Linked DNA regions of Styela clava. The protein of the gene in region 1 interacts with the protein of each later gene in a biochemical or structural test. Links are inferred from orthologs where the notes say so. Each region holds a gene or a part of one and is shown on either strand. Other genes may lie near its edges. The genes, in order: coatomer subunit beta-like and coatomer subunit delta-like.

What was found.
Region 2: the proteins of coatomer subunit beta-like (region 1) and coatomer subunit delta-like form a complex in vitro, tested with the Homo sapiens proteins (2 studies listed by BioGRID). The link is inferred for Styela clava from reciprocal best matches to the Homo sapiens genes COPB1 and ARCN1.

The regions. Positions count from the first base shown.
Region 1 is NC_135255.1:10,256,654-10,264,661, reverse strand, and holds the start of coatomer subunit beta-like, read right to left. Parts: upstream 3,245-8,008; coding exon 3,070-3,244; intron 2,205-3,069; coding exon 2,053-2,204; intron 1,432-2,052; coding exon 1,262-1,431; intron 869-1,261; coding exon 715-868; intron 1-714. Other genes in the region: TM2 domain-containing protein 1-like, read right to left, coding at 4,307-4,855. UniProt on the Homo sapiens protein: The coatomer is a cytosolic protein complex that binds to dilysine motifs and reversibly associates with Golgi non-clathrin-coated vesicles, which further mediate biosynthetic protein transport from the ER, via the Golgi up to the trans Golgi network.
Region 2 is NC_135253.1:7,646,601-7,654,029, forward strand, and holds the start of coatomer subunit delta-like, read left to right. Parts: upstream 1-4,316; 5' UTR 4,317-4,460; coding exon 4,461-4,463; intron 4,464-5,577; coding exon 5,578-5,701; intron 5,702-6,166; coding exon 6,167-6,306; intron 6,307-6,690; coding exon 6,691-6,870; intron 6,871-7,429. Other genes in the region: KIF-binding protein-like, read right to left, coding at 986-2,794. UniProt on the Homo sapiens protein: Component of the coatomer, a cytosolic protein complex that binds to dilysine motifs and reversibly associates with Golgi non-clathrin-coated vesicles, which further mediate biosynthetic protein transport from the ER, via the Golgi up to the trans Golgi network.

The DNA.
Region 1 (8,008 bases):
GTCCAGTTACAGGTCCATATGTGAGAGGACGGCAGTACCGACCAGTGGTAATAGAACAACCCTACAATGGTGGAGATTGAAGGGTACAGCAATCAGCAAATGTCTCCCACATTTATTACCCATCGGATTTGAACCTACATAATTAAATTGAGTCATAGCGATATAATGGTAATCAAAAAAAGAGGAATTTACCTGTTTAGAAAACTACTACAGCAAGATTCACAATAAAGTTCATAACAGAAATACCAGTTTGCAAAATCATGAAATATATGCCAGGGATAGCCGATTAGCCGGTAACAAATAATTCACTATTCTAAATAGAGATTGGAGACTCCAACACCACTAAGCAATATTAGCATTCTATATCATGAAATGTGATATATTTTATAGAGAATACGCCTGAGGTCATTGCATAATAATAAAGTTTCAAGTTTTGTTATTCGGAAAAGTTGAATAAAACAAGTTTTGGATCATGAACTTGCCTAAGAGGCAAATTCTTGAAATGCCCACATTTTCAAAGAAATCATTTCTAAATTCAATAAATTACAATATTGAAAATGAATATGTTTGGAAGTACACTAACCATTCTTTTGGATAACTCTGATACAAGCATGCGACAAACACATTGCACTAAAATATATAAGTAAAAACTGAAACTGAGATATACACAATAATAACAGGCAATGTGTGTCATACTAAATACAAAACTCTTACTTGGTCAATACAAGTGCTCAAGTAATCCAAAGCTCGTTCTTGATCAGCATGAATCAACATCATGAATGCGTTTCGTTTACACGAAGCATCTTTTTCTCCTTCCAGAAACTCATGAATAAGTTCTGGAGCATCAGGAATCAAATTTTCAAATTTCCTGGAAGATAAATAATGTCTGTAAACAGATGTGGAGAAGAGAGACTGTTGTCAAAATCACATGAAAAGCAAAATCCCTAACTGCAGTGGTCTACAATTTTTCTCAATATATTCCTGCCTTTGTCTATTTTTAGATCCCCTTATTACTCCCTCACTATGCGGAAAACTGTTTCTGTTGTTTGTTTGAACTTCAAAGCATCCAATATATATATATATATCGAATATTAACTGAATAACCAAATAATATAAGCAAAACTGCATACAAAGAATAGTAATCGTTCTGTTTTTTCTGCCTGTTGGGTTGAGAAATGCTGCCCTAGTGTGACTGAAATAATTGCATTCCTTATAAGGGTTGTTCATATTTCAGATAGTGGTTGTGTTTTGGAATACTTACCTGAATATAGTATAAATGGCAAGAACTGCATTTCTTCTTACATAGCTATGTCTGTGTTCAAGACAGGCACGAATAGCAGGCATTAGTGGTTCAAGCAGTTCTGCCTGACGAAGTTTACACAAGAAACGAAGTGTAGAACCTCGAATGAACTCATTGGGATGTTGCAAATCCTGCAATAAAAGACAACCTTCAAGAACTGTAATCCAGAACTGTATTTAATCAAAATGTCATACATAACAAAACAAAGATAAATTTTAAAACAATTTAATAGTCAATTTTCAACATAGGGATTTATCATTCAAACAGATAAAAAACAATGAAACAGTGTCGCCGTGTCTCGTAGACATTATCGATGCTAAGATATTAATGGCATAGTACACATTACCAATGCTAAGATATTGATAGTTGACTACATATTACTTTTCCATGCAACATTTTAAACATCTTCCACTCCAAACAAGCAGCCATTGCACTATATTTTAGAAGGACTGAAATCTGTCCAGTTGGCCTTATCTATCCAATATATTATACATTAGGTCAGTTGCTGGGCATAGGATTAAAACTCAAGATTTCATTAATATAACCAACATGTTTAAGCCCAACGCTGCCACCACTAGGCCGTTACACTTACACCCATAAACTTGACTTGAAATTTGATCAATCAAGCTTTAATTTGGCTTCCAATTTATAACCGAATGTATCAATTATCTAGTAAAATATTGGGAATCCTCCATATTAAATGCTTATTCAGCGTAATTTTAATAGAATTCATGAATGATCAAGCAGCCCACCTTTCTATAAGCATCACAAACTAGAATCATCTCAGGCCTCAATTTTCCATCGTTGTCCGTCTTGGGCCATATTTCCCAAAATATCAACAATAATTTCTTGATAGTATGATCTTCAGAAGGCAACAAGTATTTGATGATTGTCATCAATAATCCTTGTAATAAAGAATGCAATAATTTAAATCAATTGCATTGAATCGAATCACAAAAATGTAACTTCATTCCAAGCTATTCAAAAGACATATTCATTATACTGTATAAAAATACAGTTGGATTCAAATCAGACTGTAAATGAATATCCCAGATCAAATTATCACAAAATAATTTATTCTATAATACAGTCAAAAAATTTTAAATTTTGATGTGGCTTATCTCCTTACTTATATAACTTGAATTTCTTTGGTGACCGTACATTTGAACCCATGTGTATATCCGCTGGTTCAATATATATGTGAGGGCTAAAACCCATGGGTTAGTGTTAGTATGGGTTCAAATATCCGTGTAACAATAAAAAATCCTTAGATATGATAGTAAGCAGGTGCAATTGCCGTGGGTTCAAATGTACGGTTTCAACCAATTTCTTTATCTTCCGAAGAAAGACATACGATACATATTACGCTATGCTATATACACAAGGTATTCATAAAGTCCTGTTACAATTTTAATTTCGTAATGAAGTCAATTCTCAATCTATCCTAACCAGGCTTGTTTTATTTTAATCGGTTTCCATTTTTTACCTCATATAAACCCGTAGAGGCAAACGAACTATAATATATATATTATATGGTATCGATAAAATCTATTCACAATTTAAAAAATTGTATGACTTCAGTTTCTGCTCAGCACTGAAGATTAATACTATGGATCCAATTATTTTGAAATATTTGTTCAATATTATTAAATTTTTATATTTTGGTATGCACTATTATATTACTCATGAATAACCCAAAATATGTTGAAAAAGAATGTGACATATTATAATCATAAACTATTTTATTTGAATACCAAAAAAAATCATACCATGAAGTTTTTCTCCATTCAATGTCATTAATATGACGCGTTTCAAAGCGTCTGTTTTAGTACGAATATCGCCATGTTCGATATCTGCTTTTAATTGTGATTCATTAGATGGCTCCGAATCAGTAACAGACGGTACATTGATTAGAGTGTGACAAATGCTTTCTGCTGATGTCATTCTGTAAGTCAAGCACTAGCACATCTAAATATCTATCAAATAAAACAAAAAATATTTGAACAAAATAATACATTGCATTTTAGAAACATGATAAAAAAAATTAAAAAACAGGAGTAATAGGGGGTATACTATTTTAAAGCTTGCATTGAAAAGAAAGTTATGTTATATAGCAGATCGTAGCTTGTAAAGTGAGACATTTACAGCTTCACAATAAAAATTGCGCAATTGTTGCTCTCTCATTCACCAAGAGCAGTTTTGTTAAGTTAATATGGCAAGACTAACATATCTTTACCAAATTAGGTTCATAGATAATTTACTAACACTCCTAAAGTTCTCAATGGTCGCTTGAGGCTTTGCTTTTGAGTCGGGTAAAATAGTATACTGCACAACACAGAAAAAATTAAATAAAAACAATAATTTTTCCAAAATTCATCCATATTCATCATCTGAGATATGAAATAGAATGCATGGAATGGCAATGGTATAATCCTATCAGAAAAATTTGCATTCTAAATAACATATTATGACAGGCAGTTTTCCATTCAAATAGAAACATACTATGAATGTCCCTTAAAAAAAAACAAAACTACTATTACATATAAAGACTATTGTTGGTTTGAAAAATGAAACAGATAACAACGGATTTTTCATATATCCACACAGCAATACAAAAAAAAGTTGCAAAATGAGTGAAAAATGACAAAAGATTACTGAAAAACTAAATATCTGAAGAATTTTTTTTCAGGCTCAAATAAAAAAATAATACAGTTCAACTCAGTCAAGTGAATGACATTTTGAGCACTGAAAATTGAGAAAACCAAATCAGGGCCAGTTTAAATTGGTATATTATTAGCTCAGCGGAACCACAGAAAACATATTAGTATGCAGTCAAATACAGGAGAATAACTTCAGAATGATATATTCTGACTAGTTACACTTAATAATTTTGACAAATTGGGTCATACTGGATTATTGCTTCTAATAAGATCAATAGAAATAGCACAGTGTTAAATAAGAGTATACATATATCTGGATATAGTATACAAAAACAGTCTAAAATTATCATTCAAGTTGTGGTTTAAAATAAGTTTCAGCATTTATAGAAATTTCCCGCAATCGGGGTCCATAGAGATCAATGACATAATTTGAACCATCGGCAGGAAGAACAACTTGCAATGCAATTAATAAAAAATCAAAAAATGCACCTAAGCCAAAAATGCCACAGGTGCAAAACTTCAATAATCCCAGTGCTGGATAACCTAAATAAAATCTATCTATCCCTAACCAACCAAGAAAAATTGAAAGTCCAAGTGCTGTTGTATAAGAATATCCATTAGTATATGTACAGTTTATTAGTTTTTCGAAACCAATTTGGCTTCCATTAAACGATTTCCCATCACATGTTATACCATTGACAGGATAGCAGTCAATCTTCGACTTGCCAGCTGGTGTGCAGTTGGCAACAGCCTGAGTATGCTCATCTATTTGAGGTTCAGCACAGCGGTATTGTCCTGGTAAAAGATCAGAACATGCATCTTGGGCATACGATGTACAGTAAAATACCGTCAGCAACGTCAAATAGGCTGCTATTTTTGCGTCTTTCAGGCACATATTACAATACTAGCGGCGGAAAACACCAGCTACGACCAAAAAAATGCTGTTATCGGCGACGTGTCTCGGGAGAATTTTTTGCTTGACTGCGTCGGATATATTAAACAAACACTCAATTATGACATCGAGTGAAAGAGACAAAGAAGTGGATAACCGTAAATTTATATTTAGAAGGATTTGATAAAAAAAAATTTTGAGACTGTTTTAAAAAAAAGTTAAAAACGGAGATTATTGGTTTTGAACTCCTGTAAATTTTTATTAGAATACTTTTTGAATACTGCGTGCAAATAATTATTGAATTACCAGCATAAAAACACCAATTTTTGCAATATTTTCGAATAATTTTGTTTTCCAAATGTCAACAGTTGACTTTCGTATTGAAACCTCCGATTTGTGGAAATATGGATGCTCATATTCTTATAACAACTACGGCCGAAAAAATACAATTTGTTTTGGTGTCGGTAATATGAATTCGATTCCTAAGTAAGCAATGGGGATGGGATACCGGGAAATCCGATCCCCAATTTCAGTGATTTAGACATATTTTCTAATCCATACTCAGGAATTAATTTTAATATGATTCCGAAATTTCAAGAATTTGTGATTTTTGTTTTTATCAAACATTTTTTGACTGCTTTGCTGATTTTTGGTCTAAATAAATTTTTTTATTTTTTTTATATGACTCTTCTTTCAGTATTTTTTTTTACCCATTACGTCACTGTGTCTCAAGTTTAACCTCTGTTGTGTGGGGAATCTTCGTAGAAACAATTTGTGGGGACAAGTAATAATAATAATAAAATGAAATTTTATATTTCTGGTTTTTTATAAACTTGGTAAGTTGTGAAATGTTAACTAAAATAAACCAAGATTAAAAATAGGATATCACACTATCTGCACAAAAATCAGACGATTTTTTGAAGTTAGGCTCGCTCGCGGTTAAACAACAAACACAATAGTATCAGTTTCATATAACCGACTTTTAAGCAAGCTTGAATGCACGTGTTTCGAACCAACGAAGCGTATTTTTTGTATTTAGATCTCGCTGCTCGATAACCAGCATTGGTTCCTCTCGGCTTCCCTTCCCCAGATGAAATGTGTGATTTTCTATCTTCCTCATATTTTGTGTGAAACTGACTTTTTTTCTGGTTGGAAAAAATAAACTTGACTTGTAAGTAATTATCCTTGTTTGGGGTGTCGCGATTAAAATCTGTTACATCTTGAGTTAGATTTGGTTCCCACACCATCCTCGTCAGTAGCGCTTGCGTAGAGAAAACGCATAAATGTGAAACGTTTAAGAGATTTTTTTCGTATTGCAAAGATTTATTATTGTACAAAAAGTATTTTAAAATAGATTTCTTCTTTCTTCTTCTTTCACTCAAAAAGTGCTATGTCTTCGTCTATGGCTGCATATGTAAAACAAAATAGTAATAAAAAACGTTATTTTAATGTTTGCAATTAAGTGCTCTATATAACAGACAAACATACAATCGAAAGCAAAACATAAAATCCTTCAAGTATTTCGACAAAACTATTCAACAAGATTTTATATTTGATATGACAGGTGCAATGTGTAATAAAATAAATAGCAAACTCGCCTTCCTGGTGTTGTATTTCTCTCTTTTTGCGTTTCCAGCCATCCGACGGTACGACGTGAGTTCGCCTTAAAAATATGAGAAAAAGAAGTCCGAATAAAATAATATCTTTATTGAATACAGACCATTTTATAAACAAAGTTAGAGAAATATTTTAGTAGCCTATTTTAGTTTCCACTTTCAACCACAGGATATATTTGTATTGAAATAATGGTTATTCACTTCTACCGTGTTTCCCCGAAAATAAGACCTACCCTGAAAATAAGACCTAGCTTGAATTTAATTTTTTTTTAAATAAGCCCTCCACCTAAAATAAGACCTAGTCAACAACACGATTTTTTTTTTACCTAGTCGATTGCAAGGAATCTATCCTACACGTTTTAAATGATTATTAATCTATGTTTCGAAGTTATTTTGAATAAAAACGTAATATTTATAAGTAAATGGATATCGGCTCGCATGGCCACACATCTTCTAAAAAAAGAATTCAATTTTGATTATTAACAGGAAAAAAACTCGAAGTGATATAACACAAGAATATTACAAAATGTTTTGTTGCTACTTTAGAAGCTTTATCCAACAGCATTTCAGATTTTATTTAACGAAAGGTGATATATACGACATATACTCAGGGTTATAATAAATCTACGGAAATGAAGAAGTAGATATTGTTACAATATTGTGCACATTCACCCACCTTCCATTCATCCGAGTAAATGCTCCGCGTATAAATGGAGGCCGCCTTGAAAAAGACATCGTGCCGTCTTCGTCATTTACTCCTTCCTCTAATTCGAACTTTGGCAAATTTATCAACAAAAAGGCGTAAGCACAGCTAAGGGCAATTAAGGTGCAGAATATCGTGGAGAGTACAAAACGCATTCTTATTACTTATTATAGCCACACTGTCTAAAATACCTAGTGTCTTTAACAAATGAAAAACAAGAACGCGAGAATATGCTTCAATTTTTATATTCATGTTTTGATTAGTTATTCCTTATGCCAAAACGGGGCTTTCTTTCAATCAAAACAAGGCTATGAATAAATGTCACTGCTAGAAGCTACTATCGTTTGAAGGGACCGGGATCTTTCCAGGGTACACGTTGACTACCCAATTTATCACATCCTAGGTAAGGGTATGGTCATGTTATTTGAACCTGAGACTTTTACCCTGTGATGGTAACTTTAACCATCAAGTCATTGTAACCAAAGTTTTTCAGAAATATTAAAATGCTATATATATATCGATTCTAATGATTGAACACAGCGAAACGTTTTAGAGACTGTAACATGGACCGTAAGAATGAAATATGCTAATTGGTTTTTGGAAGTGTTGCCTGATCACGACTGTCCCGATTATCTTACATTACGGGAGATACCAAACGCTATATTCTGGCAAACAACCTTATTCACCAGTAAAAGATAGATGAGCGGTGCCTGGCGACTTGTCCACTAGTGTAATGGCCAACTTCATAACAGCCAAATTGCTCATTAGTTCAATAACCAATCGCAGAAGTTGTCACACCAAACTTTCGAGACACAAATATTACTTTTTGCCGATCTT
Region 2 (7,429 bases), on another chromosome or scaffold:
CTCAAGATCGTACTGAAGTGAATTTTCTTTTTGCTTGGCAGAAAATTATTATTGACACAAAATCAGTACCCTATATATAAACTGATTATCAAATCATAGATTTCCTCACAGGCAAACAGAGCAAAGACGAGCTGCTTAGTTGGTTTACAACTTTACGGAGAGGCAAACTGACAGCTACGAAAACATGATTAATCCACTTAAACATGATTGCACAATACTGCTAACAAATAGCCACTCTGTTCCAACTTGTATTTCAATGTTTATATGATAGGACAATTACAAATATATAATATACGTGAAATATTAAAACCAGTTAGGTATATAAAACACAGTGATGTTACTTACAAGTGAACAGTTGAGAGATTTTTAAGAGGACGATTATATATACCCGGTGCAAATTCAAGTGCATACCATTGATTAATGAACTACATTTGGTAAGTGACAGGGTTACAGTAAATCTAATGTTTTAAATTGTGTCTATTTCGAACCTTCATGAAATAAAAAAATACACAAAAAATACGAAAGAAGGATATAATAAAACACAATTTGCCATGCAAATGATGTACCACTGTGCTTATTCTGAGCTGAGCGGAAAACTGTACTAGATTATTGAGTTGCAGAATACCGACAAAAGCAAAACATAATTATGCTATGAAAATAGACCATGATCAAGAAAAAACACCCAGAACATTTCAAATGTTTTAAAATATACTGATTAACTTTCACATGAAGTGGTGCAACGATTCAAAACTCAAATATATATGTAAGAAGTCTTGGGTACAAGCGGTCAAAAAAGTCTAATTACACAGCTGTGACAAAGGCTAATGGTAAAATGGTCTAATAGTTTAATAATAAGGTTGTGGGAAAGGAAAACATAGCCTTTTAATATTGTTACAAAATTACAGTGTGAAATTCTTAACCACGATCTCTGAAAGTTTTAACGACAACACACAAAAACATTATTCACAAAATGTTCCATTATCTTTCATTCCATATATCGTTCCATTGCCTTTGGGAGAAGGACTTTCATTTCCCTGCAAATTTCGACTTCCTTTTGTACTGTTACCTCACATTCCGGTTTACGATCAACATAGTCAACTATCCATGAATAATATTCCAAGGACTTTTTCAAGAAATTTAATTTTTCAGATCTTACAGGAGCAATTATTTTTGAATACAGTCTAGCGACGTGAAAATGTGCAATAATCGCAGGATGTTCAACATCTTCATCAAATGGAAAAGGAAATACTTTTTTAGTATTTCGTAGTGTGTCAAGAAATTTAGTGAAATATAATATACTGGACCTACACAATAGGTTTATCTTCTTGATAGCGTGGTGTGTTGGAGTCTGAGTCGACTCATTAGCAATTGCAATTTTTAAATCTAACATCGCACCATATATTTCCCCAATTTCAAACTGAAGTTGTCTGCATATTAAAAGAAAAAATTGAGGATTTATCTCATTCAAAACTTGAGTAAGAAGGTCTATCCGTCTTTTATGCATCTTGCATTTTCTCTCTTTCTCTGTCTCAAAGAAAATCAAGTGTTTATACAGAGCACTCATGTCTTGCGTCAGCTCAATATTATCTGTGACAAAACCATCCATAACAAAGAATTCAAGAGCAGAATCAACATATTTTTTCGCTATTAGGAACACTTGTCGACTTTCTTCAAAAGTGGTGACTGGTAAATGTCTCGCATTCTCTTCTACAGAATCAACTTCAAGAGGCATTCTGTCATGATCTTTGGGTACATCATTGTCATTTTCCTCATTTAATTGTAGTCGTAGTATAGCTTCTGCTTGTCTATTAACATCAAGTTCACACACATCATTATATAAGAGTTCCTTTGAGTAATCCAGAAGAGCGAGAAAGTACTTCACCCAACAACGAGCGATATCTGCTTTCTTCTGTGGTATTTCATTTCTCAGCATGATCGTCTCATTATCATCATCAGGTTTCGGCTCAGGTAGACCTTCCTGAGGTTTTGCTTCTTCCATAATGACATTGGCACAAGCCAAACAATGTTTTGCTTCACGATACATATTTTGACAAATGTAATATTGTGATAGGCCAGCAGAATTCACAGCCCATTCTTTTGGATCATACTCTTTTGATTCCAGTTGACGTCGTAAAGTTCTTTGACAATATGCAGCAGATAGATCATTTTCATCACTTTGTTTGTACATCTGTGCCAAGTAAAACAATGTATGAGTGAAAATCTTTTCAAATTTTGCATCACGTTGCATGTCAGTGAATTTCTCTTCCTTTGGACGCAAACTTTCATCAATAGCGAAAGGAGAAAGACCCACTTCATGCTTATATTTATTATAAAGACTTTCAACTTTTTTAAGGTTGAACATTGCCTCGTCTCGGCCTTGATAACGGCTAGCCCATACTATTCCAAGTTCAGAATATGCAATCATGGCAATGCTAACAGCCTCTGGTCTCATTAAAAGTTCATCGTCTTTCAGAAGAGCAATACACTTATCAAGACATTCTTCTCCAGCAGGTCTTTCCTCAGTGTGAGTGTAATTAAATCCTAGCTGATATTGTATCGCAGCTTCTAAAATTTTCATGGATGGGTCAGATTCATTTTCTTCTCGTTCTTTATGTATTCTATTCAATATTTCTTGCAGCTTTTCTCTTGCTTTGTATTTTGACTTGAAAGGATCATTTTCTGGATCTTTTAAACTTTCTTCATCAGTTAAAACTCGTACACTGTTATATGCATCGTATCCCTCCGACTCAAAATATTCAAGAAGTGTCTGGGGTAAACTGAATTCAAAATTCATATCCAACTTCCTTATATATCTGTATATTAAATAAATCTGAAATATAGTACTAATTCTTCTGTTAAAAAAAATGTATTTTAATGAGTAGGCCTATAGGCACAACGACTTTTGAATGGTTTGCTCTGCAGCATTTTCGCCACTTAACTAAGAAGAAAGTAGAAAAAAAAGATCAATATTCTCAGATTCTGGAAACAATGGGACCAGTGAATGTTTACAAAATGTACTATTACTGGGGTCTTGTGTAGTTTCGTACTTCAAGTACTTCTAGTGGGCGTAGCATAACGATTTTCGCATATGTCAATCCTAATCCCCATCTGACTATGGCATCCAGAAATTATGTCACTACGACATCACAATCACTTCCTTAATAGAGCTTGTCAGAGTATAGGGGGATCACCCACAATGGCATCTGCGCCGCCGCCAGTCATATCGGGATCGTTGCAACGCAAAAACAAGAGAAATAGCTTGCTAGATTTTAGGTGACTGTCTGTGTGCTTGAATGACAGTTTGTACAGTTTGAAGGGCCTTGTTATGTCACTTTGACGTAATTTTCGAATGACGCAGCGAAGTGTTGGTTAGGATTGACAAATGCAAAAACTGTAAAACTACGCCCACTAGAAGCATGCTACTTACGGTAGCTATATTTGACAACGAAGAAAGACTGAATTGTAATCTAATAAACGCTTTCGCAAAAAATTAGGAACCTGGCTACCTTAGATTCATTTTTCGCTTACTTAATCTTTTTTTAAACAATATTTTCTCGTCCAATTTATTGTATTTATTTAGTTTAAAGATTTTTCATCTGATTCCGTGGTAAAATTATATTTTAATCAGCCTTTTCAATTTTTATATATAGCTATAAGTGAATCATATATGCGCTTGGAAATTATATTCAATGTGTAAAAATATTCTGGTTGAAATTGCTGCTAGCTCCACAGTGGTGACGGAAGGTTCGAATCACAACTATGGTCATACATAGGCTTACCATACGTCACGGTTTAGCCAGGACAGTCCCGGTTTTAGCCTGTTTTTCCGCCGTCCCGACATATAATATAAAAATTCACAACATGAAATTCTCTCACATCCAATTATTAAAATGAATTAAGAACACTGAAGTGCATAATGAAATTTATTTAGGTTTTATCTTCAGAATTACCCAGTTCATTCACTACAGAAAAGCATATCTACCTATTTAAAATATGCACAAAGGGGCCATGAATAATTGTTCATTTATTTATCACTATTACGAGACGAATAAACATACATACATAAAAAAAAATTGGGAAAACAAGATCACACTTGAATAAATATAAAAAATACGACAATACGATGCATACCGGTACTATTTGCCGAAATTCCGGTACTCAAAATATACTTATATTTACCGTAGGCTATATTATACTGCATCGTATTCATCTCAACGAACTCGCGGAGTGAAGACTGAAGTAAATGGGTAATAAGAATTTTTATTACTCTAGCGCGACATCTCGCGGGGATGATAAATCGAATTTATCGAACATCGCAGTAGTCTCCATTCAGCCGTTTTCGTACTTATGCCTAGCACTGACGTGGCTGCCTGTTGAACAAGGTTTCTGCATTGGCATACTGGCTATCGGTGTCGTTTTTGTTTCACATTTCTGAGGTTTGGAAATCTATAAATTACAATATGGTAAGTGATTATTATGGAATATGAATCTATGATATGACCACCAGTTTTGGATTCAAATTATGGTCCGATCTAACTTAACCTGACTCCATATAACGTTACAGATATAGGCTAACGCAATCTGGCAATGTTCAATTGTTAATTAGTTGCTGTTACTGTGTTGAGATGGATTGCTTATATTTTTTTTTCAAAACAGTGTTAAGACTTAACTCCATGGCTATTATCTCATTCAGTCCTTCAAATTAATATAAAATCTTATTTCTATATATCAACTCCATTCTTCCGAAAACAAATACCTGGTTAACTAATCCCATACCCGACCTGGTAACCGAACGAGAGGCGGGTCTAGTATAGTTTAGTACCACAGGTACTTCCAGTGGGCGTAGCATAACGAATTTTGCATATGGTATTCCTAACCCCCACCTGACTATGCCATCCAAAAATTACGTCACTAGGATGTCACCATCACGTGATATGGCTTGCCAAAGTATAATTACAATCGCCCGAAATGGCATCTGCGCCGCCGATAATGAACTCGCTAACGCCGACGATCTCTCTCTTATGGTGATCGTTGTGAGGCAAAAACGAGAGAACTAGCTTGCCCGATTTCGGGTGATCGTCCGAGTGTTTTGGACGACCATCTCCATACTTTGGTGGGTCTCATTACGCCACTGTGACGTCCAAATGACGTAATTTTTTGGTGACGTAGTCAGGTGGGGGTTAGGATTAACGTATGCAAAAATTGTCGAGCCAGGCCATCTAGAAGTGCATGTGGTACTAAACTATACCAGACCCCGAGAGGCCGTGGTTGGCCATATGATTAAGTCGTCTTATCGGTTTTCCTCTCCCCCGGGATAAATATGTAAATCCTATCCTATATTCAACGTAGGCCTAAGGTCATACTGCCATAAAAATTATGTGTTTTCACTTTTTTTCCACTAACTGACCGAACTAAACTATATATAGATGCTCCTCATTTCAGAGACAGAGTATTTATTTAAATGAACCAATTACGTTGGAACATCTTTGAATCGGAGAACTAGGCCCTACTGAATGTACAAAGTTTACTATCTGACTATAACGTTGAGTCATGGATTGAATTATTTCAATTTTTTAGGTGCTGTTGGCAGCGGCGGTAATGACCAAAAATGGTCGAGCCATCATATCTCGGCAATTTGTAGAAATGACTCGATCAAGAATTGAAGGTCTTCTTGCGGCATTTCCTAAATTAATGAATACAGGTAGAACTTCAGTATTTACCTATTTTATTGATGCCTTATCACAGTGTCTAGTTCTATGATTCAATAAAGCATTTTCAACAACCAAAAAAATCATGATAATATTCTGTCATGTAACAATGTAAACATGCATGTGCATTCATCATATCTTGGGTCAAAAGCCTATTGATTTTGGATGATTTATGTCATATAATTAGCGAGTTATTAATTAATTAGTGATGGGACACGCGGTGTCACTATAGAGTATAAGTCTTTGGTCTCCGACCGATTCCTTGTTTATTCAATTACTAGTTCATTATGGCTTCTAATAACTGGCTAGCTGTTCCCAACTGGCACTGGACGAGAGGCGAAGGTTTGCCATATGATTGCATTGTCTCGTCGACTTTTCTCCTCCCAGGATATAATATGAAAATCTTACTTTTATCTACTTTCGAGGATAGAAATTTATCAATTTATCAATTTCTTCAGGCAAACAACACACATTTGTCGAAACAGAATCAGTGAGATATGTCTATCAACCTCTGGAGAAAATGTATATGTTGCTGATCACTACAAAGAATAGTAATATTTTAGAAGATCTGGAAACACTAAGATTGTTCTCAAGATTGGTATGTAAAGTTTGAGGTAGATTCTAATATCGGAAAGGATAGAACTTCTGCAAGCTCATTTCTAACACCAACACATAATGACAAATTTTTTTAAATCTATTCTATTTAGATTATATGTACAAAATACCTTTCATGTTTTCGTTAATTTCAATTTTACTTGTATCCTTGAAATTCAATTTGAAAATTATAGAGAAAATGAATTGAAATCAAGCCCCAAATTTATTTGTTTATTAGAGTCTGTGATCGTTAGTTGTGATCATACTTTACTCAACATCATGCTGAAATCATGTTTTCTAAAGATTTTATGCTTTGTTTTCACACCCTTTTTCCTTGTCTTAATTGGATTATTATAAATTGAATCATAATTAATAATTGTTATTCAAGATTCCAGAGTATTGTCGAATCCTGGATGAAAATGATGTTCAAGAACATGCTTTTGAATTGATCTTTGCATTTGATGAAGTTGTAGCTCTAGGATATCGTGAAAGTGTCAATCTTGCACAGATTCGAACATTTACTGAGATGGATTCTCATGAAGAGAAAGTGTTCAGGGCAGTTCGTAAGGTAAGATAAGCTGACTTGAACAAAAATCATTTATTTTTTGTGAATGTTGGTCTTGGCGAATGGTAAGTCAAGTTTCCACCACATTCGTTTTTTAAATTTAAATTTTATGTTCTGGTTAATAGTAATTTTGAGATACCAGCGTCTACTGAAATATTACGATGGCTATCTATTTCAGTTTGATATAAGGCAGTGGTTCTTAAACTGGGTTCAATCGAACCCCAGGGGTTCGATGAGTCAGTATCAGGGGTTCAGCGGAGAGGAAACACCTTTGTTATAGAATCCCCGGCCAAACGTTATCTGATTGTGCAATCGGCGCTGTTTTTAAAAAAGTGTCTGTTTTGTCTTTGTAAGTAATTTCGTTGTGTAAGCGTAGTTTTCTTTTGTTCAGAGTTAGTTGTGAAGTATTACTTGATTAAAGCCTTATTAGGTTTTTAATGAGTCTGCATATTAAGTGAGTCTACTACAACAATGATCAGCATTGTTTTATTTGAAAACATTATTTTGTAGGGTTATAGGGTAATTCTAGCTTAGCACCGGCAAAACTAAAGGATCACTTTCT